Rattus norvegicus: one gene and its partners. Each later gene encodes a partner of the first gene's protein in a complex. Links are inferred from orthologs where the notes say so. Each region holds a gene or a part of one and is shown in the gene's direction. Other genes may lie near its edges.

The links. The genes of interacting proteins can lie anywhere in the genome.
Region 2: the proteins of Nmt1 (region 1) and Ncs1 are in contact, whole or in part, in a crystal structure (PDB 5O9S), measured with the Homo sapiens proteins. The link is inferred for Rattus norvegicus from reciprocal best matches to the Homo sapiens genes NMT1 and NCS1. Residues at the interface, in NP_066565.1 of Homo sapiens: Tyr180, Val181, Glu182, Asp183, Asp184, Asp185, Met187, Phe188, Arg189, Phe190, Tyr192, Asn246, Thr282, Ala283, Gly284, Arg295, Tyr296, His298, Ser300, Lys310, Phe311, Ser312, Tyr401, Leu403, Ser405, Tyr420, Gly468, Ile469, Gly470, Asp471; in NP_055101.2 of Homo sapiens: Gly2, Lys3, Ser4, Asn5, Ser6, Lys7, Leu8, Lys9.
Region 3: the proteins of Nmt1 (region 1) and Hpca are in contact, whole or in part, in a crystal structure (PDB 7OWM), measured with the Homo sapiens proteins. The link is inferred for Rattus norvegicus from reciprocal best matches to the Homo sapiens genes NMT1 and HPCA. Residues at the interface, in NP_066565.1 of Homo sapiens: Tyr180, Val181, Glu182, Asp183, Asp184, Asp185, Met187, Phe188, Arg189, Phe190, Tyr192, Ile245, Asn246, Phe247, Thr282, Ala283, Gly284, Tyr296, His298, Ser300, Lys310, Phe311, Ser312, His313, Tyr401, Leu403, Ser405, Tyr420, Gly468, Ile469; in NP_002134.2 of Homo sapiens: Gly2, Lys3, Gln4, Asn5, Ser6, Lys7, Leu8, Arg9.

Annotation. Positions count from the first base shown.
Region 1 is NC_086028.1:88,504,829-88,511,380, forward strand, and holds part of Nmt1 (glycylpeptide N-tetradecanoyltransferase 1), read left to right. Parts: intron 1-1,551; coding exon 1,552-1,696; intron 1,697-5,084; exon of another isoform or gene 5,085-5,310; intron 5,311-5,661; coding exon 5,662-5,780; intron 5,781-6,552.
Region 2 is NC_086021.1:34,917,578-34,924,922, forward strand, and holds the start of Ncs1 (neuronal calcium sensor 1), read left to right. Parts: upstream 1-3,371; 5' UTR 3,372-3,431; coding exon 3,432-3,495; intron 3,496-3,667; exon of another isoform or gene 3,668-3,779; intron 3,780-7,345. UniProt on the Homo sapiens protein: Neuronal calcium sensor, regulator of G protein-coupled receptor phosphorylation in a calcium dependent manner. Directly regulates GRK1 (RHOK), but not GRK2 to GRK5. Can substitute for calmodulin. Stimulates PI4KB kinase activity.
Region 3 is NC_086023.1:146,744,385-146,751,679, reverse strand, and holds the start of Hpca (neuron-specific calcium-binding protein hippocalcin), read left to right. Parts: upstream 1-3,321; 5' UTR 3,322-3,495; coding exon 3,496-3,873; intron 3,874-7,295. UniProt on the Homo sapiens protein: Calcium-binding protein that may play a role in the regulation of voltage-dependent calcium channels. May also play a role in cyclic-nucleotide-mediated signaling through the regulation of adenylate and guanylate cyclases.

The DNA of each region.
Region 1 (6,552 bases):
TCTGTATATTTCTCAAAATTTCAGATTAAAACTGCTCATAATGAGGATCGTAGTTGGGAGGGTAGGGTTGATTGTTTTTGTGGGTCTCGGTTTTTTGCTTGCATGCACGTCTGTGCACCACATGTGTACAGGGTGAGTGGAGGTCAGAAGAGAGTATCAGATCCCCTGGGACCAGAGTTGAAACACTTGTGAGCCTCCATGTGTGTGCTAAAAATCAAACCTAGGTCCTGTAGAAGAACTGCCGAGCTGCTTCTCCACTCCCACTGCCCCCTGTATTTTTTAAGACAGTATCTTATGTTGCCCATGCTGGCCTGAACTTCTGATCCTCGTATTTAGGCCTCTCAGGTACTGGGACGACAAACCTACAGCACCGCACCCGGCTACAGGCTTTTCTCCCTGTGCTTTCTACTCTGCATTGCTTGAAAGTTTGCAGTCAGCTCCATTACTTTTGGCATAAACAGCATGAGACTGGGATGGGGAGGAATACCCGAGGACATCCAAGTGTGGCGGCACACACTGGTAATGAAGCAGAGGCAAGATGAACTGAAAGTTTGAGGTCATCCTGGGTTACATGATTTCCAGGCCAGCCAATACCTCGAAATGAGACCCCCATCTCAAGACAAAAAAACAACCAAACAAAAACCCCAAAAAGAACAAAAAAATCAAAGCAACAAAATCCCATAGGCAGCGCCCCATTACTAATTCTCAACGGCTCTTTTCTCCATGTCTTATGATTCGTACTAAAGACCCACACCCTGGTTTTGGATAGTATTCTTTGACTTTTGAACGCTTGGTCATATGTTTGTGTGTACTTGGTCGTGAGTGTTACACATGCTATGTAGAAGCCTGAGGTCAGTGTTGGTTTTCTTCCTTAACCACTTGCCACCTGTTTTGTTTTTTTCAAGGCAGGGTTTCTCTGTGTAGCCTTCCCTGTCCTAGACCAGGCTGGCCTCACTGGGACTAAAGGCGTGCGCCACCATCGCCCAGGCTTGTCACCTCATCTTTGAGACAGGTTTCTCACTGAATCCAGAGCTTTGTGGTTTGGCTGGGTTGGTTGGCCCACAGCCCCTAGGGATCCCCCTAGCTCTGCCTCCCCAGCAGCACAATTACACAGAGACTACCATTGCTAACTTTTGTTTATGTGGGTGCTAGAGGTCGAACTCAGGGCCTCTTTACCGACTGAGCCATCTCTGCAGCTCTGAACTGTTGTATGTTTGTTTGTTTGTTCTTTTTGATACAAGGTCTCATGTAGCCAAGGTTGGCTTTGACTTCTAATTTTCCTGCCTCTACCTCCTGAGAGCTAGGATTAGATTTGCACTCCAGTTCCAAGCTAACTATTTGAGACAGGGTTTCGCCATTAAGCTCTAGTTGGCCTGGAGCTCTCCGTGTAAAGCAAGCTGGCTCACAGAGATTTGCCTGTCTCTGTCTCCCAGTGCTAGAATTAAAGGCTTGCTTCACCATGCATGGCCTCGCCAACTCTCAAATTCACAGTGAATCGTTAAGTCTCGCTAACACAATGGGCCTTTTTTTTTCTCCAACTGTCTTGCCCAGATGAACTCTTTGCCAGCAGAGAGGATCCAGGAAATACAGAAAGCCATTGAGCTGTTCTCAGTGGGTCAGGGGCCCGCCAAAACCATGGAGGAAGCCAGTAAACGAAGCTACCAGTTCTGGGATACACAGCCAGTGCCCAAATTAGGTATGTGCCTCCTTTTCCAGGTGAGAGCAAGGAGTGGGCCTTAGCCACACCTCTGTATGGGTTTTATAAGGGAGGGCTGGGAGGGCCTAGAGTTCTTGGGTAAGGCTAGTCCTTAGAAGAAATGTATAAAAGACTATTGTTGAGAGACCTTATCATTTCAGGGCAGACACACAGAACAAAGATGGTTCTTTTTAGTCCTTTCTTCTCTTAAATAAATCTTCAGAGAACGACATCATAACCCATGATAAGTGGGAATATCTGACTTCCCTCTTAAATTAGTGAAAGGCTGTTTTGTTTGTATAGACAAATGTGAACTCTGGACTGGGGAGAGTCCGCAGGCTCCTCCACTCCCCTCAGGGAGTGCTTACTAAATTCAAATGCAGTCATGGCTCACTTCTGAGGGGCACATGTGGGCTTCATCAGGGGGCCTTAAAAGCCACAGTGAAGTTAGGGGGTGGGACACACCTTTGCTTCCATTACCTGGAGGCAGAAGCAGGTAGATCCTGTCTTTGAGGCTATCCGGTCTACAGGGGGAGTTTCAGCCCAGCAAAGCTACATCATAGTGAGAGCCCCGTCCAAAAAAAAACAAAACTAAAAAAATGATATAATAAACTTATAAAGGGATTGGACAGACAAGTCCCAAAAGTATTCCAGAAAAGACTGCACATACTGGAGTTAGAGATGTCTACTAGGTCTGAACCACAGCTGACCTGGGTGGCCAACCTCAGGGCCTCTGGTGGACAAAGGCTCTATGAGTGATTCAGGGACCCAAGTCTTGCTTCTTATGTCTGTAGTTGAGGAAGTAAATCTGTATTTTGTCTTAGTTAGGGTTTTACTGCTGTGAACAGATACCATGACCAAGGCAACTCTTATAAGGACAGCATTTAATTGGGGCTGGCTCACAGGTTCAGAGGTTCAGTCCATTATCATTGAGGAGGGAGCATGGCAGCATCCAGGCAGGCATGGTGCAGGAGGAGCTAAGAGTTCTACATCTTCATCTGGAGGCTGCTAGAAGACTGACTTCCAGGCAGCTAGGATGAGGGTCTTAAAGTCCATGCCCACAGTGGCACACCTACTCCAACAAGACCACACCTCCTAATAGTGCCATGTCCTGGGCTGAGCATATACAAACTGTCACATGTTTTCTTCTAATATCCATATATTGTTAAAATATATGGGGGTTGGGGATTTAGCTCAGTGGTAGAGCGCTTGCCTAGGAAGCGCAAGGCCTTGGGTTTGGTCCCCAGCTCCGAAAAAAAGAACCAAAAAAAAAATATATATGTATATATGTATGCGTGTGAATATGTGCCTTGAGTACAGACCCAGGAAACAGACAGTTGCGAGCCACCCAATACAGATTCTGGGAAGTGATTTTGGGTCTTCTGCAGTGTGTACTCTTAACCGCTGAGCCATCTCTCCAGCACATTTTGTTTTATAAAACAAAACTCAAGCCCTAACACCAAAAGTAAGAGATGGTCAAGTTGTCAGTGCCACTGTTCTGCAGAAACATTGTGACATTTGCAGTACACTGTGGTTAGGAGGGCAGAGCCAAGTCAAAAACCAGGAAGTAAAAAGACAGCTCTGTTCCGTGGCATTTGTCTGTCACCTGACTGGCGTTTTCTGATTTACAGTGGTCTGTGTCATGACAAAATGAAAATGGCCAGGTGTGGGGGCACATGCCTTTAATCCCAGCTTTCAGGCAGCGGAGGCATCTCTGAGTTTCGAGGCCAGCCTGGTCTGTACAGTGAGTTCTAGGACAGCGAGGGCTGTTGCACAGAGAACCCCAAAAAAGAGGTTCTCTCAAAAAAGAGAAAGAACTAAATCTGGGTGGGCATGGCATATACCTCTGTAAAACAAAATTTGTTGAGTGATTTTATTTTTCAATTATGTGGGGGCAAAGGAAATGACTCAGTGGTTAGGAACACTTGTCCAGGTAGAAGACCCAGGTTCCGTTCCAGCACTAGGTGGTGGCTGGCAACCATTCTTTTTTTTTTTTTTTTTTTTTTTTTTTAAAGATTTATTTTATTATATATAAGTACACTGTAGCTGTCTTCAGACACACCAGAAGAGGGCATCGGATCTCTTTACAGATGGTTGTGAGCCACCATGTGGTTGCTGGGAATTGAACTCATGACCTCTGGAAGAACAGTCGGGTGTTCTTAACCACTGAGCCATCTCTCCAGCCCCGCTGGCAACCATTCTTAACTCCAGGTCCAGGAGATCTGACCTCTTCGGCTGACCTCCATGGACACCATATATATACATGCAGGCAAAACACTCATGCACACAAGAAACAAACAAGCTTAAATGTGCCTGTGCCTGCGTGTGTTAGGTATGCCTTTGCCCTCAGAGGGCAGTTAGGAGCCGCCTGACATGGGTGCTGGCAATGGAACTGAACTGAAGAGCAGCAGTGCTCTGCCCCGGAGCCGTCTTCCAGCCACCATCCATGTAGGGTCTGAGGCAGATCATTGATGTTTTTTGGCATGTTGGTATACACAGTACAATGTGCCCATGTGTGTTCAGAGCCAAGGCTACAGTGAAGTCACATGACACTGCCTGAACTACCTCAGATTCCATACATGTTTAATTTTCAATTTGTTTTTGGTTTTGCTATTGCTGAATTTTTCTTGACACCCCCACACTTTGACTTACGTAACCCAAGGTTACAATTCACAGTTTCAGAAGCTTCGGTCTGGGTAACTGTTGTTAGGTGCCCTGAGTGAGCCTTCAGACCTCTTCGATCTGTCATTCTGTCTAGCTACCCTCTTTCCTTGTCCTGTTGAGGGGAGCAGGCTCTCCTCCCTCTGAGGCTCATAACCTGCCTTTACCTCATGCTGCTCTAGGCTTTGCACGACGGGCATGGGAGGTGTTGTACTGAGCTTGCCACCTCCGACAGGGGAAGTTGAGTGTCTGCGGACTGTTGTGGAGTGCTGGCTATCAGATGCATACCTGGAATCCAGCACTGGGAGGCTGAGACAGGATTGCTGAGAGCACAAGGACAGCCTTGGCTACTTAGTATTCTCTTTTAAAAAAGAGGGGGGGGGCAAAGTAAACAAAACCTATTGAAAGGGAGGGTTCGCCTGCCTGGGTTTCCTCTCCAGCCTCATCTGGTTTCAGTTCCTCCCTCCATCTCAGCTTCCAAGCTCTTGGCAGAGGAGGGGTTGTGTCAGAGGGTGACTTCCCGGCAGCATCATGCAGGAGGGTGATTCAACCCAAAGGCATCTCTAGGGCTCAAAGCCCTGATGCCCTGACCTGGCAGTTGCTGGGCCACAGGCCTGGAGGCTGAAGCTGGAAGGCTGAGAGACCCTGGCTGCCAGAGCTATCATCTGACTGAAGGGCGAGCCCGGAACACTGTCGTTGGTCTTGACACAAAGGCAGGCTTATGCAACCTTACAAACCTCCAGTCAGGGAAGAGTGTCTGGGCTAGAACATGACGACACCCTACACCCACCAGGAGACAGGAAGCCAAAGTAGCCATGGTGTTTGTCCTTCAGGAGCCTGTGGTGAGAAGGATTTCCCAAACTGAGCCACCGTGGATCCTAGAGATTATTCTGAGTGTTTTGTGGACATTCGCCCTCAACTGGGGGTCAAAGGTGACTGGAGAGAGATTACAGGTACCAAGCATAGAGTGTTCTTCAGCTGCAGGGTTCCTAGGGATGGCAGAAATTTACTCTGGTTTGTTTGTTTGTTTGTTTTCTGAGACAGGGTCTATGTCACCCAGACTGGCCTTACACTCACTGTGCAGTGGAAAATGACTTTGAAGTTCTGGTCCCTCTGCCTCTCCTGAGTGCTGGAGTTACAGGCTTGTCCCACTCTGCCCCAGTTATTTAGTACTAGGAATTACACGCACAAGCAAGGCAGCCACTCTACCAGCTGAACTCCTAGCCTTCCAGGGAATGTCTTCAGTGAGCTCCTCCTCGCATGCTGTGGGCAGACAATGGACTTGGGCTGTGCTCTTCTTCTAGGTGAAGTGGTAAACACCCATGGCCCTGTGGAACCTGACAAAGACAACATTCGCCAGGAGCCCTACACCCTACCCCAGGGCTTCACTTGGGATGCCTTGGACCTGGGAGACCGTGGTGTGGTGAGTAGGCCTGGCTTGCAGTGGGGACAGGACTCAGATGAGCCTCAGAGAGCGGAACAGATCCCATCTGGCACTTCCTGGGCGTGCCCAGACTCCGTACAGTAACACAAGCGTGTCACACTTTTTTTTTTTTTTTTTTTTTTTTAATCTTTTTACTAGTGGGATAGGGCTGGGAGGACAGGAGATGGGGAGTAAGAGCACATGTAGGCATTGGGTACATCCCTGTGGAGATGGAGGACAGCACTGTGACTGACGTCATTTCTCTCCTGCCTTACTTGAGCTCCAGGATTGGACTCAGGTCATTAGACTGGTGCAGTACCAAGTTTTTACCTACTTGGGCCAACTGATGGGGACAGCTATGAAGGCAGAAAGGGGACTTAAGTCCATTGGGCTAAATGAAAAAAATCCAGTCATGGTGCTTGTTTGTTTGTTTAATACGGCAGTGATGTCCTGGGAGTAAGTGATTTCATAACCAGTCCTCAAAATCGTTTCTCCAAAGCTTGTTCACAGATGGCTCAGAGTAATCTAAGTAGTTGGTTAGAGGATGCTATAGATGCCGCCATGTCCTGAAGTGTGCGACTCTGCCCTCTAGTGGTTCCATTTCTTATTGCAACCAAGTTGTTCTAAAAGAGTCCTTGCCTTGCCTGGGATAAAAGAGATCTGTGAGACCTGAGGTGGATTTGGTAGTTTGCCTTGTCCTCCTGCAAAGCTTGGAGCTTCATGGAGTTGGCCCCCGTCTGGCAGAGCACCTCAATGAGCTCCTTCTCTCTCC
Region 2 (7,345 bases), on another chromosome or scaffold:
GCGCGCGCATGAGCATGTGGAGGTTAGAGGTTGGCATCAGAAGTCTTTGGTTGGGGCTGGGGATTTAGCTCAGTGGTAGAGCACTTACCTAGGAAGCGCAAGGCCCTGGGTTCGGTCCCCAGCTCCGAAAAAAAGAACCAAAAAAAAAAAAAAAAAAAAAAAAAAAAAGAAGTCTTTGGTTGCTCTCCACTTTATTTCACTGAGGAGTAATCTCTCATGGAATTTAGAACTCTCGGATGAAGTAAATCTAGCTAGCCAGTCTGCCAAGCGCTAGGATTACAGACAGGCTGCCAAGCCCCACCTCACATTCACTGGGCTGCAGGAGGTCTGAATTCCTACTGGCACACTCCTGAGGTAACTGTTTTCCCCACTGCATAGCTCACAGCCACAGCCTAGTTTGTGGAGATCAAATTCAGGTCCTCAGCACTTTATCAACTGAGCCACGATCTCAGCTCCCCCTTCCCTGCCACACCACACCACACACACACACACACACACACACACACACACACACACACACTCACACACACCCCCAAAGTCAGCCCTTCACCTCAGCTATGCAGGTGTGTTATACCACCATGCCTGGCAAATTTGGTGGCTTTTATAAGAAGAGGCAGAGAGAGCGCTCTCTCCCTTTGTCCCTGTCCTTTTGCCTGAGGCTCTACCATTAGAGCCACCACCAGATAGTCTTTGGACCTCCAGCCTCCACAGCCATGAGCCAGAACAGACATTTGATTGTAATTCTCTCAGTCGCCCTCCTGCCCCTCCTCACCTACCCTTTGAGACTGTTCTTACCCCAGCTGTGCTCCCCCGACACTACAGAGCCTTGCTTGGTCCTCAATACCCTTCTCCCTGCTTCAAGTCTTTGACCAGATTCCATCCCAGGAGGCTCACAGATCCTCACCAGTACCTGGCATCCCCGTCTTACCTTGCTTGAGCTGTTTCTCCTTGGTTCTGTAACATATTGTCTGTTGTGTGAATTGTTCATGGTTTCTTTTTTTTTTTTTTTTTTTTTTTTTCGGAGCTGGGGACCGAACCCAGGGCCTTGCGCTTGCTAGGCAAGCGCTCTACCACTGAGCTAAATCCCCAACCCATTTTTCACGGTTTCTAATGTCCCCCTGATCGTTACATTGTGAGTTCTATTGTGGCAAGGACTTTTCCAACATCCCCAGGGGCCTGGCACATAGTAGGTGCCCAGGAAATGCTAGCCCAGTGTTAGTGACTGTGAGAAGCCAGGCACTTCCCTCACTCCCATACCCCCCAGCGTCCTGGTTCTTTGCATGGTGATGGTGACCAGTTGGTTGTCATTGGGCAAGCTGAGACATGGTCATTTCTCATGTTGGTCACTACAATGTCCCCAGTCTTTTTAAAATGTCATAGAACTGTGCTTGTCCTTGAAATGCTGTCCTTGAACTCATTATATGGCCAAGGCTGGCACTGAGCTTCTCATCCTCCTACCTCCCTCTCCTGAGGAGTGACAGGCTTGCCTCGAAGCTCTGTAAGGCTTCAGCTATTAACCCTGTTGCCTCAGTCATGGCCCATGGTTTCTGTCTGAGCAGGATGTTCAGGTGAGGCTGGCCAGCTCTGCATCTCTTTCTGTGGCTTTTCCTCAGTGTCCATTTTGAATTGATCCTCAAAGCTGGGGTACCCTGCTCCCACCTCTAGTGCAGATTCCTCCAGCTGTGGTACAGTGCCAGCTTCCAGGATCCATGCCTGCTCACTTCCTGTATGGAATGGGTCCTTCACACCAACATGCTGGAACCTGGGTCTCACTTGGGCTCATGTGTGGGAAGGAACAGAATGTCTGAAGGCCGGAGACATTTGAGGTTGAAAGGTGCCATTGCCCTGGGTAGAGCTTTATGCCCTCTGAGGGGGAGAAAAAGAAATTCTGTCTACGGTTGCATCCCCGCTGGCTTTGGAGGGGATGGCTTCATCCTGCATGGTCTTTGCAGGACTCTGGCTCCTGGCATGGGTCATTCCTTCCCCGCCCGACCTGTTTTCTGCCCTTTCCTTGAGAGGTCTCCCTCCTAATTGTTGTCTAAGCTGGTTGTGAATCAGGGACCCTACTGCCCCCTCAACCCTTCCCTGTGTGGCTGGGCTAGCTCCCAGGCCTCTGCTACTAAGGCCGGCTCACAGAGGTTGCTACTGGCCCTCAGGACCTTCTGAGAGCAGGATGTATATTTGCTCTCCCTCCCCCTGGGGGCTCATTCTTTGGGAGAAACAAGTCCCACTGAACTAAGCGGTCCAAGTTTTCCTAAGCTGTTGAGAAGACACAAGAGTTGAGCAGAAAGTCAGGAGAGGTCTCAATTACGATGATATTTTTGGGAGAAGGGCAGGGCAGGCCATGCTAATCTTTCCCTGAGGTCCCTCCCGGAGCTCCACCAGCAGGCTCTGTTGCCCTTGGTCTCTCCAAGCAAGCCTCACAACAGAGAAGGCCTAACTTCAAGTATTCCTGGGCCCCGGGGACAGAGGCCAGGTCCTTGGGCAATACGGGCTTGCCAGGCTGGTCTCCAGAAGCTCTGGTCCTTCTGCCTGGCCTCAGATCATTCCCATCCTTGCCTGGAGCCCGGGGTGTAAAGGCTGCTCTCCCTCCCAGCCAGACACCTTCCAGGTTGATGCCCCATTCCTCTCTCAACCTGATCTTAGAAGTCATTTCCCCCAAGGCCAGGCAAAAGTGTTCCCACCGCAACCCATGCCAGCCAGCACATCAGGATGCTCCCAGAGAGGCCTGGGATCGCGCCTGTCAGGTTGGCCGCCCGGTCCCCAGAGCCCAACACATCCAAGTGGAATGAATGAATCGCGCCTGGCAGGGACTTGGCCTCGTTCATGTCCGATTTTCCGGGCCCTCCCTGCCCACGCCGCTGCGGAGAGGGGGTTGGGAGGACATGGATCGGCGAAGGGGGCGGTGCGGCGACCTCCCGGCGTCCCCGGAGAGCCAACTGGAGAGGGGGGGTGCCTCAACTCGGAGATCGCGCCTGTCGGAGCTGGGCGGGAGGTGGCGCCGGGCGCTGAGTGGCGGCTCCGAGTCCACCCCTGGCGCGCCGGTGCGGGCGGGAGGCGGGGAGCGTAGGGGCGGCGGCGGCGCAGCGGTAGCGAGCATGTGCTACGCAGCCCAGTAACCAGGGACGACCGCGGCTACCGAGCCCCGGCGGCTGCGGCGCCCAGCCCCGCGCAACTCCCCGCCGTGGCCGCTTGCACCGCAAAGGCCTGGCCCTCGCCGGATCCCCGAGGCCCCTTGAACCGTCAGCTGCGGTCGCGCAGCGCGCCGGAGCCCCGCGCACGGGACGCGCGGGCACGGCCAGACAAAGGCGCGGCCCCGGCCCGGCCCAGCCCGGCCTGCGGGCCTCCGCGCACCCCGGCCCGACCCAACCGCTCCCGCTGGGCGCCCCGAGCGGGTCCGGCCCGGGGAGCGGGGGCCGCGGCCGCCGAGCATGGGGAAATCCAACAGCAAGTTGAAGCCTGAAGTTGTGGAGGAGCTGACCAGAAAAACCTACTGTGAGTGCGCCCAGATCCCGGATCCCTGATTCCCCATCGCGCCTCGACCTTCCCTCCGCCCTTCTCGGCCGCGCCCCTGCCCCGCACCTGGCCCATTGTTCTACCCGCGCCCCCGCCCCCGGCCCTGGCTGGGTGTCGCCTGTCAGCGTGCTCCAGGGACCACCCCAGGTCCTCAGGGCATCTGCAGCCCACCCACCGCCCCCTCCAGTCCGAAGGGCTCGGGCTGTGCCGGGGTGGGGGGCAAGTGGTCCCAGGAGGGGGCGCCCGGGCGTAGTGTGGCTCTCCTGCTTGGAGCATGGTGGGTGGGTGATTCATGCTTAATGATGCTGCTGCGGCTCCTGCCTCTTGCGAGGTTGGCCTGTCGCCCCCTCCCTGGCAAGTGTGACTGTGTGTTGGGAAGGAGAGGGCTGGTGAGACTGGTAGAATGCTCAGGCAGTGACTGTAAGGGTCCAAGGGTCTTGGGCGCCCTATTAGATGCCGCACTGTTGGGCTGTATTCCTGGTCTCACCCCTTCCTTGCTCCTGTCTCTGCCGCACCAGGAAATGGGTTTGTATAGTCCGAGCTGACGAGCTGACGAGTGAGGGAAGGTCTGTCCTACTCCACAGTCCTCTAGATCAGTCCCAGGGGTGGCTCTCCACGTGCCCAACTTCACAGATAAGTCTCTGCATTCACACCATGTGTCCCCCTCCTTGAAGCCTTTCCAGGGGTGGCCCTGGAAGTGGGGCCTGGGAGGCTTTGGCTGAGTGCTCTCTGCATCACCCAGAAAGACAGGCAGTTGATTGGCAGCTCCGTGGAGATGGAGGCTCTGGTGCAGTGCATGGCCTCTGCTCTCCCCTGCCCCCTATATCGGTCTTCTGAGCAGGTTTGCAGGTCTTGGCCAACCCAGTGCCTTAGCCCCGTGCTCCTTACCCTCCCAGACTTAGAACAAAGGGGGCTTTACTGCCTGGGCTCTCCTGGTCCCTGTCCCGAGGAATCAGAGAGGTCACATCCAGGAACTGCTCCTGTAGAGGTGTCCTTCCCAGCCCAGGCCACCTACTCTCCCTTCCCAGATTCAGTGGGTGGATTTTCTAGCTTGTTGTTGCTTGTGAGGTTGACCGGACCCTTGAAGGTGTGGCCCACAGTCATTAGCAGGTAGGCTGTAGGTGGAACACCCTCCCTCCCTGAATGGGCCGGGACCCCAGGGTCTGGGGAAGGTAGAGGGTTCCGTGGACTTCTCCAGGAACCATGGCACGTGGTGTACCAAGCTGTCTCCATGATGGTGAGGCTGGGGGGCCACAAATGAGTCCTGCTCACTGAGTGTGCCATGCTCACTGAGTGTGCCTCTCTGTGCCTCTCTTTTCCACCCTGGCCAAATGCTGGATTTGTAAGACCCGATGGGGGCCAAGATCCTTTTCTTCAGCCCCATCTCTGAAGGGCTGGCCTTACCTTGGGAAGAATGGGACCAGCAAAACTCTCGTTAGGCACCGGCTTGGTGGTGCTCTGCTGAGCTATTTTTAAAGGCCTTTTGTGATGTGGAGCAGTTTTGTTCAGAGATGGAGGTAGTCTGGGTGCTTTTCCTTCATCTGAGGTCTTTTTAGGGGTAGGGGGATTCACTTGCTTCTGGCTTGTCTCCCCATGGAAGCCAGCTCCCTCCAGGCAGGTCTTTCAGTGGCCCACAGCCATCTCTCGAAGATGATGGTTAATAGGTCTGCAGATCTTAGTGGGAGTAAAATAACCTCATCGGGTAAAGCAGAGCGTGCTCGCCGCTGGCGGCAGGCTCTCCTTGCTTCTCCTTTCTCATGAGGGATGGCAGGCAGCATCTCCCCACTTCCAGGGGAATTCTGAGTAGGGAGTCAAGAGACGCATCATCCAGGAAGTATTCCCAAATGTCACCATCTCCTGTCCCTCCCACTTGGCTTGCTCTTCTCTTAGGTCTGGGCTGAGCTCTGGAGTTGTATTCTCCTGGGGCTGGAGAGATGCTCAGTGCAAGCATGAGGAACTGAGGCGGGTTCCCAGTACCTGACTGAACATGTGGTTCGTGTCCACAACTCCAGCCCAGGGAAGGCAGACCTAGAGGGATCCTGGGAGCTCACTGGCCAGCCAGTCTAGTGAAATGGCCAGTTCTGGGTTCATTGAGAGACACCAGCCCAAACAATCAGGTGGAGGAACTGGAGAGATGACTTAGTGGTTAAGAATGAGCACTGCTGTTTCTTTAAGACCAGAGTTCAATTCCCAGCCCCCATGTCTGGGGCTCACAACTGCCTGTAACTACAGCTCAACCTGAGTCAAAATCTCTCGTCTCTATGGGCTCTGTATTCACGCACACAACTCCCCTAAGCTCCTTGCACATAACTTTTTTTTTTTTCCTCTCGGAGCTGGGAACCGAACCCAGGGCCTTGCACTTGCCTTGTGCTTGCCTTGCACTTGCTAGGGAAGCGCTCTACCACTGAGCTAAATCCCCAACCCCCCTTACACATAACTTAAAATAAAGCAAACCTTTAAAAGCAAAGGAAGGCGGAGAGCCATAACACCCAACATTGACCTCTGGCCTTCAGCTGGTCACCACACGGGTAGAATGCACACACACACACACACACACACACACACACACACACACACACACACACCCCACACGGTGAGAGTCATGTATTGATTTTGGTTCTTGGTTCTGGGGAGACCCAATTGAAGAAACATAGTCTGACTCATACTGCAGGTCCCTGGCTGTCCTATGCTGCAGGGTCCAGTTTGGGGACCCAGTGGCCCTGCCTCAGTCTATGTACCATCCTGGGTTGTGCGGATCTACTGTGGTTTGTGGTCCATGTGAGGCAGGGGTTGGAGGAGAGGAAAGAAGGGAGAGAGACTGAGGACTCCATGAGGAGGCTCCACGAGGACTTCACAACACATCTGGATTCACGCCTGGCTTCAGCCTAGCCAAAGATAACCTTCTTTCAGACTTAATGCTCTGGAACCTTCTGTTCTTCCTGTGCAGATGAGATTATCTGCTGACACTGTGCTCTCCTGCCCTTCTCTGGAACTCCATCTCTAAGTGCATCCGGTTAGCGAAGGGGAAGACCCCTCTACCTCTGCCCCCCAGCCTAGGCAGGACTCACAGACCAGCATGAACAGTAGTAGCAGTGCTGGGGAGAGGGGGTGGGGTCTGCCTCAGTCTCTCAGAACTGATTGGCAAGCCTGTTGTATCCTCATATAATTCAAGCTGAAGGAGAAGCCTTCCCTCTTGCTTAGCTGAGCCTTGCTTTCCTCCTCTGCAAAATGGGTATGGTCTTGGTAGTGACCAAGTGAGTAGAGGTGTAATATGGCATGTCGGGTAAGTAGCCAGGGACTCTCTCCAAATTTGTCACTATTTCGTGAAAACATTACACACACACACACACACACATGCACACACGCACACACACACACCACGCACACACACACCACGCACACCTTATCCCTGCTCCAATGCTGGGATGGAACCCAAGGCCTTACACACAATAAGCCAAGTACTCTATCAGTGAGCCCCAGCCTCAGCTTTGAGCTTCGTTATGAATCAGCCTAAAATGTCTTTGGAGGGTGGTTTCATCTCTGCAGATGGCTCTTCTTGCCATGCCAGTCTTTGTGCTTAGCACAGTAACTCAGGGATGGAGCAAGTCCTGGGCTATTTTTCCTGAGGCCCAGTAGAGCCATGGTTTTACACGGCAGCCTACCACCTTACTGGATCATGTCAGAACGGCTCCCTATCTGCCATTCACTGAGTGTCCACTCTGCTGGGCACACAGAGAAGGAGCAAGAGATACAGTTCCTGCCTCCAGCGGAAACTGGCCGAGTGGCTCACAAATTCTCTGTCCTGGTGTTCGTATATGCGAGGGGCAGA
Region 3 (7,295 bases), on another chromosome or scaffold:
CCTAACACACTCCAGTACTGACTAAGCGTGTTACATCCTTCTGCATGTGTGTTATGTCATTCATTGTTTTCCTCTGCATGGTTGCAGCTCCCGCCTGAAGCCGTGCCACGTGCGGAAGCAATGCTTGAGAAGTATTTTTGAAACGGACGAACTCCTCCTGAGTTCGAGTCACTCACTAGCTGTCAGACACTGGAAAAAGCACTCGACCCTTCTAAGGCTCAGTTTCCTTCTCTGCAGTGCCGAACACAATACAGAGTCCACATCCTAGAGAAGGGAAGGGTAGCATTAAAGCTCAGGATGTAGCGATTGATTGATTGTTCCCAGAGCTGGAGGAGGGAGGGTGTAGCCCCCTTGCAGGCAGGAGGAGTTGTGACCCCATCAGCGCCTCTAAGAGCAGCTCTCCTTAGTGTAGACCGGAGGCATACTGAGAACCCCCACCTCCCAAGGTGGGGACATGCTTCTGTACTGGCCGGTCACAGGCCTGCATTCGCCTAGGCTACGGGAAGAGAGGATACAGTACCTTGCCTGGAGGAGTACTGGGAAGAGCTAGGTACATGGATGGTGGGAGGTGGGATTAATTCTTAGAGGGACTGGGGGATGACATTCAGTGTAGTAGGCAGGAAAGGGGGTCGGGCTCTCTGCGGCGGAGGTAGCAGGGGGCGTGTCTGGCCCCTGGAAGACCTTGGAACTGAGGCATAGGCTCTCCCTCCTCCCTAGAGAGCCCCCAGTTCATCTGGCTCCGGAGTTGAGGTGCGGGGGCAGCGAGGGTGCCTATCGGATTCCGCCCTCGGAGCGGGGCGACAGGCGGCCCCGCGCCCAGGTAAGGGTGGATTGTTCCTGGCTTAGGAGAGCAGTCCCTGGACACTGACCCGCCTCTTTCCTTGCCCCTCCGGGTCGGCTTGCAGAGCTGGGGGTCCGGATCATCCTCCCAGGGTGAAGTGCTCCCTAGAGAGGGGGCCGGGGCATCGAGGGCGTTCCGTTCTCTCTCCCGGGAGGGGGCGGGGGCGGAGCCTAGCTGCCGGCGGGGGACCCCCCCAGGGGAGGGGCTCCGGGCCAACGCTGCGGGGCGTCTCCTTCACAGTCTCGCCCGCCCCTCTGGCCGCCTCTGCCGCCGCGCGCCGCAGCAGCGCCGCCTTCCCTGCGCAGTCGGTGTCTCGGCGTTGCTGGGTGAGTGGGGGCCGCTCGAGCCGGGGTCGGGGATGAGGGGAGGGAAGCCTGGGAGCCAGGAACCCAAGTCCAGTGTTCCCCAGCCCGCTCCTCCCCGAGCTTCGTGGAATTCCTCCCACCCGCGGCGCTGCCAGCCCCGGGCTGCCCCGGGGGAAATCGCACGGCGCTCTCCAGGGTCCTGACCGCCAAGTGGCCGGCTCCCGGGAGTCGCGCGTCGACCGTCCCGGGCGCCCCCTCCAGGAGGTACCTCGAACCCAGTGCGGGAAGGATGGAGGCGGGGGCTCAGGGCCGGCGCCGGGGAGGTTTGGAGGGGATGCTAGGGCGGGTTTCTCAGATCGAGCTGTGAGATTCCTCCTATTTTGGGCACTGGGGGTCTTTGAGGAGAAAACACATTTCTTCCAGCTGGGAAAGGCAATGCCGAGGGTGGCCGAGAGGAAGGGGCACCTAGAGGAGCGCTCCTGCTCAGCGCATCACTCTGCCCCCGCCCCGCTGACCCAGTTCCTTGGACCTTGAGGAGGGGAGTAAGGGACACGCTCCCTTGTTCAGCCCTGCGCATTTCCTCAGTCCCTTCCCACACACTTGTTCCGTGGCTTCTCAGCCTGGGGCAGAAGAGGCTGATCCAGAAAGGAGGGAGCACCAACTTACAGGAACATGCATGACACACACTACTGAGGACAGACACAGGTCCCCTCACATTCCTGGGGAACGTTCCTCTCTGTGACAGGTGCATGCCCGCTCAACACGCATATAGAATTCACATGCAGACATGCACGGAAACGCATAGGGAGATAGATGCGGTGCAGAGCCCAGGACCCACATCATGGGTGAGCATACGCATTCAACACGCACCCACACACATGTGCACACACATGTGCATAGAGCTTCATGTACCCACATGCACAGGAACCCTTTTCATCCTGTCTTACTCGTATCTCCAACCTCAGGACCCACTTGCACACACCCCTACACCTATGCTTATGACTGCCCGGCTACTTCCCCTCTGTCACTTGTGCTTGCCTTACACTTTAATCCCTGCCCTGAGGGGACCTTTTGAAACCAGAGAAAATGTGAGTGATGAGGGAGGTTTGGGTGGGCTGGGTAGGCTCCCCAAGAAAAAGAGTCCTCCTCAGGTCTGAGGAAGGGCTGCAGCTCCCTCTCCTGGGACCTGGCAGCACCTCGGGGATAGAAAGACAAATGACAAGGGTGCCTGAAGGTCCCACGTGCAGCTGGCCATGTGAGAGGTGTCGGCATTCGAGTTGGCGTGTCATGGCATGTGTGAGACATGTGGGGTCGTGGGCTGGTGTGTCTTGATGCTTGGTGTATGGGAGTTGTGCGTGGTGCTGTGTGTCAGTGCGTGTGAGTTGTGTGGGGCAGTGGGATTATTGCGTGTGGAGGCACGGTGACCCATGTGGGGTAGAGGCTAGTATGTGAGTGGCAGAGAGCCTAGGGAGAACTCGGTGATCTGTGTGGCATCATGTGTGCTGGGGGACATGCACTTGCATATCAAGCCTGATCTTTGTGGAATCTGGATACATGTAAATCATTTTTACCCATTTAACATGCATGTCGCACCTGCCTCCTCAGACATGATTCCAACATGTTCACAGGTATTAACTAATTTAATTCCCGAGATAACCCTATGAAGTAAGTGCTATTATTAAACCCCCTTTGTGGTTGAGACAGAGAGTTTAAGGAAACTGTCCAAGGCACACAGCTGTTAGGAGGGAAAGCTGGTATTTGAGCCCAGGAGTTCTGGCTTCGGGGTCCAGGTTAATAACCCCCTGTTAAGCATATCTTCAGGAAGAAAATCAGTGTCCGAACAGCAAGTCCGCTGTGGAGTCAACAGACCTCTGGGAAGCCAGGAATGGGGCAGCAGGTGCAAAGGGGGGTTCAGAAGCGTTTCTGCACCCTTCTAGGACACTCTGGGAGTCAGCTCTATTGATAGTGTCCTTGTGATCTGTAGCAGACCACCTTACTTTTCTGAGCCTCCCTTCTCATGTAGAAAATGGAGCCAACCCAATGTCCCCTTAGGAGGGTGAAAATGTGTACTTGTGAATGGGCTTACCACGGACAGCCAGAAGGGTGTCAGTGAGCGTGAGCTGGACCCTTCCTTCTTCTTTGTGTCTGTTCCCCAGACATGCACGTCACAGAGCAGAGTGTGTGGTCTGGGGCCACCTCTCTCTTTTTGGGTCAAATGAGAGTTTGGGGTATCTTGTGTCTGAGGGCCCTTCTGGAGTAGTGTCAAGGGACTAAAAGGACGTAACCATTGCTCTCTCCTTTCACTTCCTTTGGTTGGGGGGAACCCAGGTGGGACTTGGCTCTTCTGCCATGGGCAAGCAGAATAGCAAGCTGCGGCCAGAGATGCTGCAGGACCTGCGAGAGAACACCGAGTTCTCTGAGCTGGAGCTTCAGGAGTGGTACAAGGGCTTCCTGAAGGACTGCCCGACTGGCATCCTCAACGTGGATGAGTTCAAGAAGATCTACGCCAACTTCTTCCCCTACGGCGATGCCTCCAAGTTCGCCGAGCATGTCTTCCGCACTTTTGACACCAACAGCGACGGCACCATCGACTTCCGGGAGTTCATCATCGCTCTGAGCGTGACCTCGCGTGGCCGCCTGGAGCAGAAGCTCATGTGGGCCTTCAGCATGTACGACCTGGACGGCAATGGCTACATCAGCCGGGAGGAGATGCTAGAAATTGTGCAGGTGAGCGACCATCGACATTGGCTTCTCAGCCTCCGTTTCTGAACCCCTCCCCCCCTTTTTTTAGCCTCTGGACATACCTGGTCCCGAGTAGTGGCAGAGGATGTTTTTCTCATCCTATTTACAAAAATCTTTTAGAATGAAACGACTTTCCATTGAAAGAAAAGCAGAAAGCTAAAACTACTGTAGAGTTAGAGGCAGGAGGGTCAAGAGTTCAAAACTAGCCTTAGCTACCAAATGAATTTTTTTTTCTTTTTTCTTTTTTTCAGAGCTGGGGACCGAACCCAGGGCCTTGCGCTTGCTAGGCAAGCGCTCTACCATTGAGCTAAATCCCCAACCCCTGAATTATTTTTTTAAAGATTTATTTTTATTTGTATGAGTACACTGTAGCTGTCTTCAGATACCAGAAGAGAGCATCGGATCCCATTACAGATGGTTGTGAGCCACCATGTGGTTGCTGGGAATTGAACTCAGGACCTCTGGAAGAGCAGTCAGTGCTCTTAACCACCCTGAGCCATCTCTCCAGCCCAACCAAATGAATTTGAGGCTAGCCTAGACATTATGAAACTGTCTCCCCTCCCCCACTAACCCATCAAAGGAGAGAAAGAAAACCCTAGAAAGTTCCTGAGTATCCTTAGTCCACACTCAGCTAGAGAGTTTCCTGGCGTTTAGTATCGCTGTGCACCCTGGTTTCTGGCTGTTCTCAGGATTCATCCTTTACCTCTCCGGTAAGAGATGTATTTCCTAAGAATAAGACATTCTCTTACATAAGCCATAGTATGATTAACCAAGTTAAGCAAGTCAAGATAGTTAACACAGAATAGAAACAACACTGTTCCTATGCCATTGTCCACTCTCTTCAGAATGTTCCCTGTTGCTCCCCCCTCCCCCTTGCTGGTCTGGGATCCTACATTGAATTTTGTTTCTCGTTATATTTATTGAGAGACAGGATTTCACTCTGTCGCCGTGGCTAGCCTGGAATTCACTTTATAGATCAGGTTGTTCTCCAACTCACAGAGACCCACCTGTCCTTTCATGTTGAGCGCTGGGATTAAAGGCGCTCCTCTGTACCTGGCTTTGTTATTCTGGTTTAATTTGGAATAGTCCCTCCCCTTGCTTTGTCTTTCCCATCTTGACATTTCTGATTTACGCAAGTTATATTTGGTTTGGTTTGGTTGGAGACAGGTCTCTCTAAGTAGCTCAGACTGGCTTTGAACTCATGATCCTCTTGCCTTAGCCCCTGAGCCATAAGGTTACAGGCATGTTTCCCTGTCCAGCTATGCTTGCTCATTCATTCATTCATTCATTCATTCATTCATTCATTCATTCATTCATCTGCTAGCTGTGTTCTATCAGCCAACCTCATCCCCAGCTTACAAGTCCTGTTTTATTGATCCTCATTTACTGAGGAGGAAAAATGCTTTGAAAGAAGAAGGCACTTGCTGGAGATCTCACCGCCTGAGTGGGCCACTTGTCTCCAACGTTCACATGCCATCTGGACACCCAGCCATCGCCTAACTAATTGACAGAGGCACCACCAGAAACCAGCACTGCCTGAGATACTGAAACCCCTGAGCTGGGCACGGCCTTAGGGCAGTCCCGTGTGTCTCAGACAGGTAGGGCCACTTGCTTGACGTAGATCGAGCCCAGGCTGGCCACGGCTCCAAGCTGCCTTTTATGAAGGCTCTGAGCTCTCAGGCAGGAGAGGAGGCTTCCAATTCTGGACAGGCTTTAGCTCTTGTGCTGCTCATCTGTAAAAGTGGAGCAGACACAGCGAGGCTGATTGCATGAGGAGATTTAGAGACTTGTCATAAATGTCTTTTCTTAGTACCAACTTAAGTATGAAATGCATTAGGTTTATTTCGGAAGCCTTCCGCGGCACGGTGTCCCCTTAGCTCACTGAAGGCGGTCAGTGCTGAGATTCTATTTTACCCGCCTGCTCCTCGTCCACTTCAGACATTTGTTTTTAGACAGGATCCCCATCCCCCACCCCTCTCTCTGTAGCCCTGGCTGGCCTCTAAACAGTTTAAAATTATATTTTTATTTATTTATGGGTAGGGCTCATGCTGGAGAATCAGTCCTCCTTCTCCTTTATGCAGATCCTGGGGATTGAACTAGGGCTGTCAGATTTGTCTGCAAGCATCCTAACAGAAAGTCATAAACCCACTGGCTTTTTTCCACTACTCCAAGGCACTGGTAGAGATCAAGAGCTCTGTTGGGGTTGGGGATTTAGCTCAGTGGTAGAGCGCTTGCCCACCAAGCGCAAGGCCCTGGGTTCGGTCCCCAGCTCCGAAAAATAGAAAAGAAAAAAAAAAAAAAAAAAAAAGAGCTCTGTTGAGGGCTATGTAGGTACCCGGTACTTGATACTCGGTACTCGGTACTTGGTACGCGGTGGATGTTAGTGACTGAGGGACTCAGACATGGCAAGCATGACTCTGGCAGGCTCCCCCCTCCCGCCCCCAATCCCCTCTGCCTTGCTAAAAACTGTTAGCATTTTCAAAGCTAGCCCCCAAGGTCTATTCCCTTATTTGGCCACTCCCTCCTTCTGAGGCTGACTGCAAAGGCCTAGCTGTTAAAGTATTGAAGTCCAGCAATCAAAAGCCCCCTTTGGCTTGCCTAATTAACATGTCAATTAAAATTAAACACCTCATCTTACCAAGGGGTTTCCCCTTTGCCTTTTTTTTTTTTTTTTTTGGTTCTTTTTTTTTTTTTTTCCCCCCCGGAGCTGGGGACCGAACCCAGGGCCTTGCGCTTCCTAGGTAAGCGCTCTACCACTGAGCTAAATCTCCCCTTTGCCTTTATAAACCGCCATTTTCCTATGGGCCACATCTGTCTCCTCTCTATCCAGAGGCAGTCCTTTGTCCTCTGGGACAAATTCTCCACCTCTGTCACCCACCCCCCCACACACACACCATGTTCCCCTCCCCTTCTCCCTCATTCTCTATCTCTTGGCTTTGTCTCTTATTCCCTGCCCTCTGTTCCTTTGGAGCAAATGAATCTCTATTGTGCCGAGAACCTGGTTCTAGTGGTCCTGAGCCATCCTTTTCCTCTTGGTGACTGTCCGTCATTCTTCTTCTCACCCATCTCCTGCACTGGCTAACATGGCCTTGTGAGCATCCCTAAGATGCGTGTTGAGAACTGCTGCCACATAGCTCTGCACAAGGATCCTTCGTACATCTGAGCACCCTTCCCTTTTAGCCTCCTCTGCTTCGTGGGCTGATATCCACTCCAGCTCGCCCAGTCCACTGGCTCCCCCTCTTGCTGGGGACGTGGATCTCAGTCTCTAGCTTGAGTGGAATGGCTGCTGCCTGTCTTGGGAAGTGATATTTTCCACTATGTTGCCTCAGTGGTGGTCCCAGGAGCCTCCGGATCATGCAGTCCTTTTTGGAGGCAGGATGATGGGGAATTCTGGGGGGTCAAAGTAG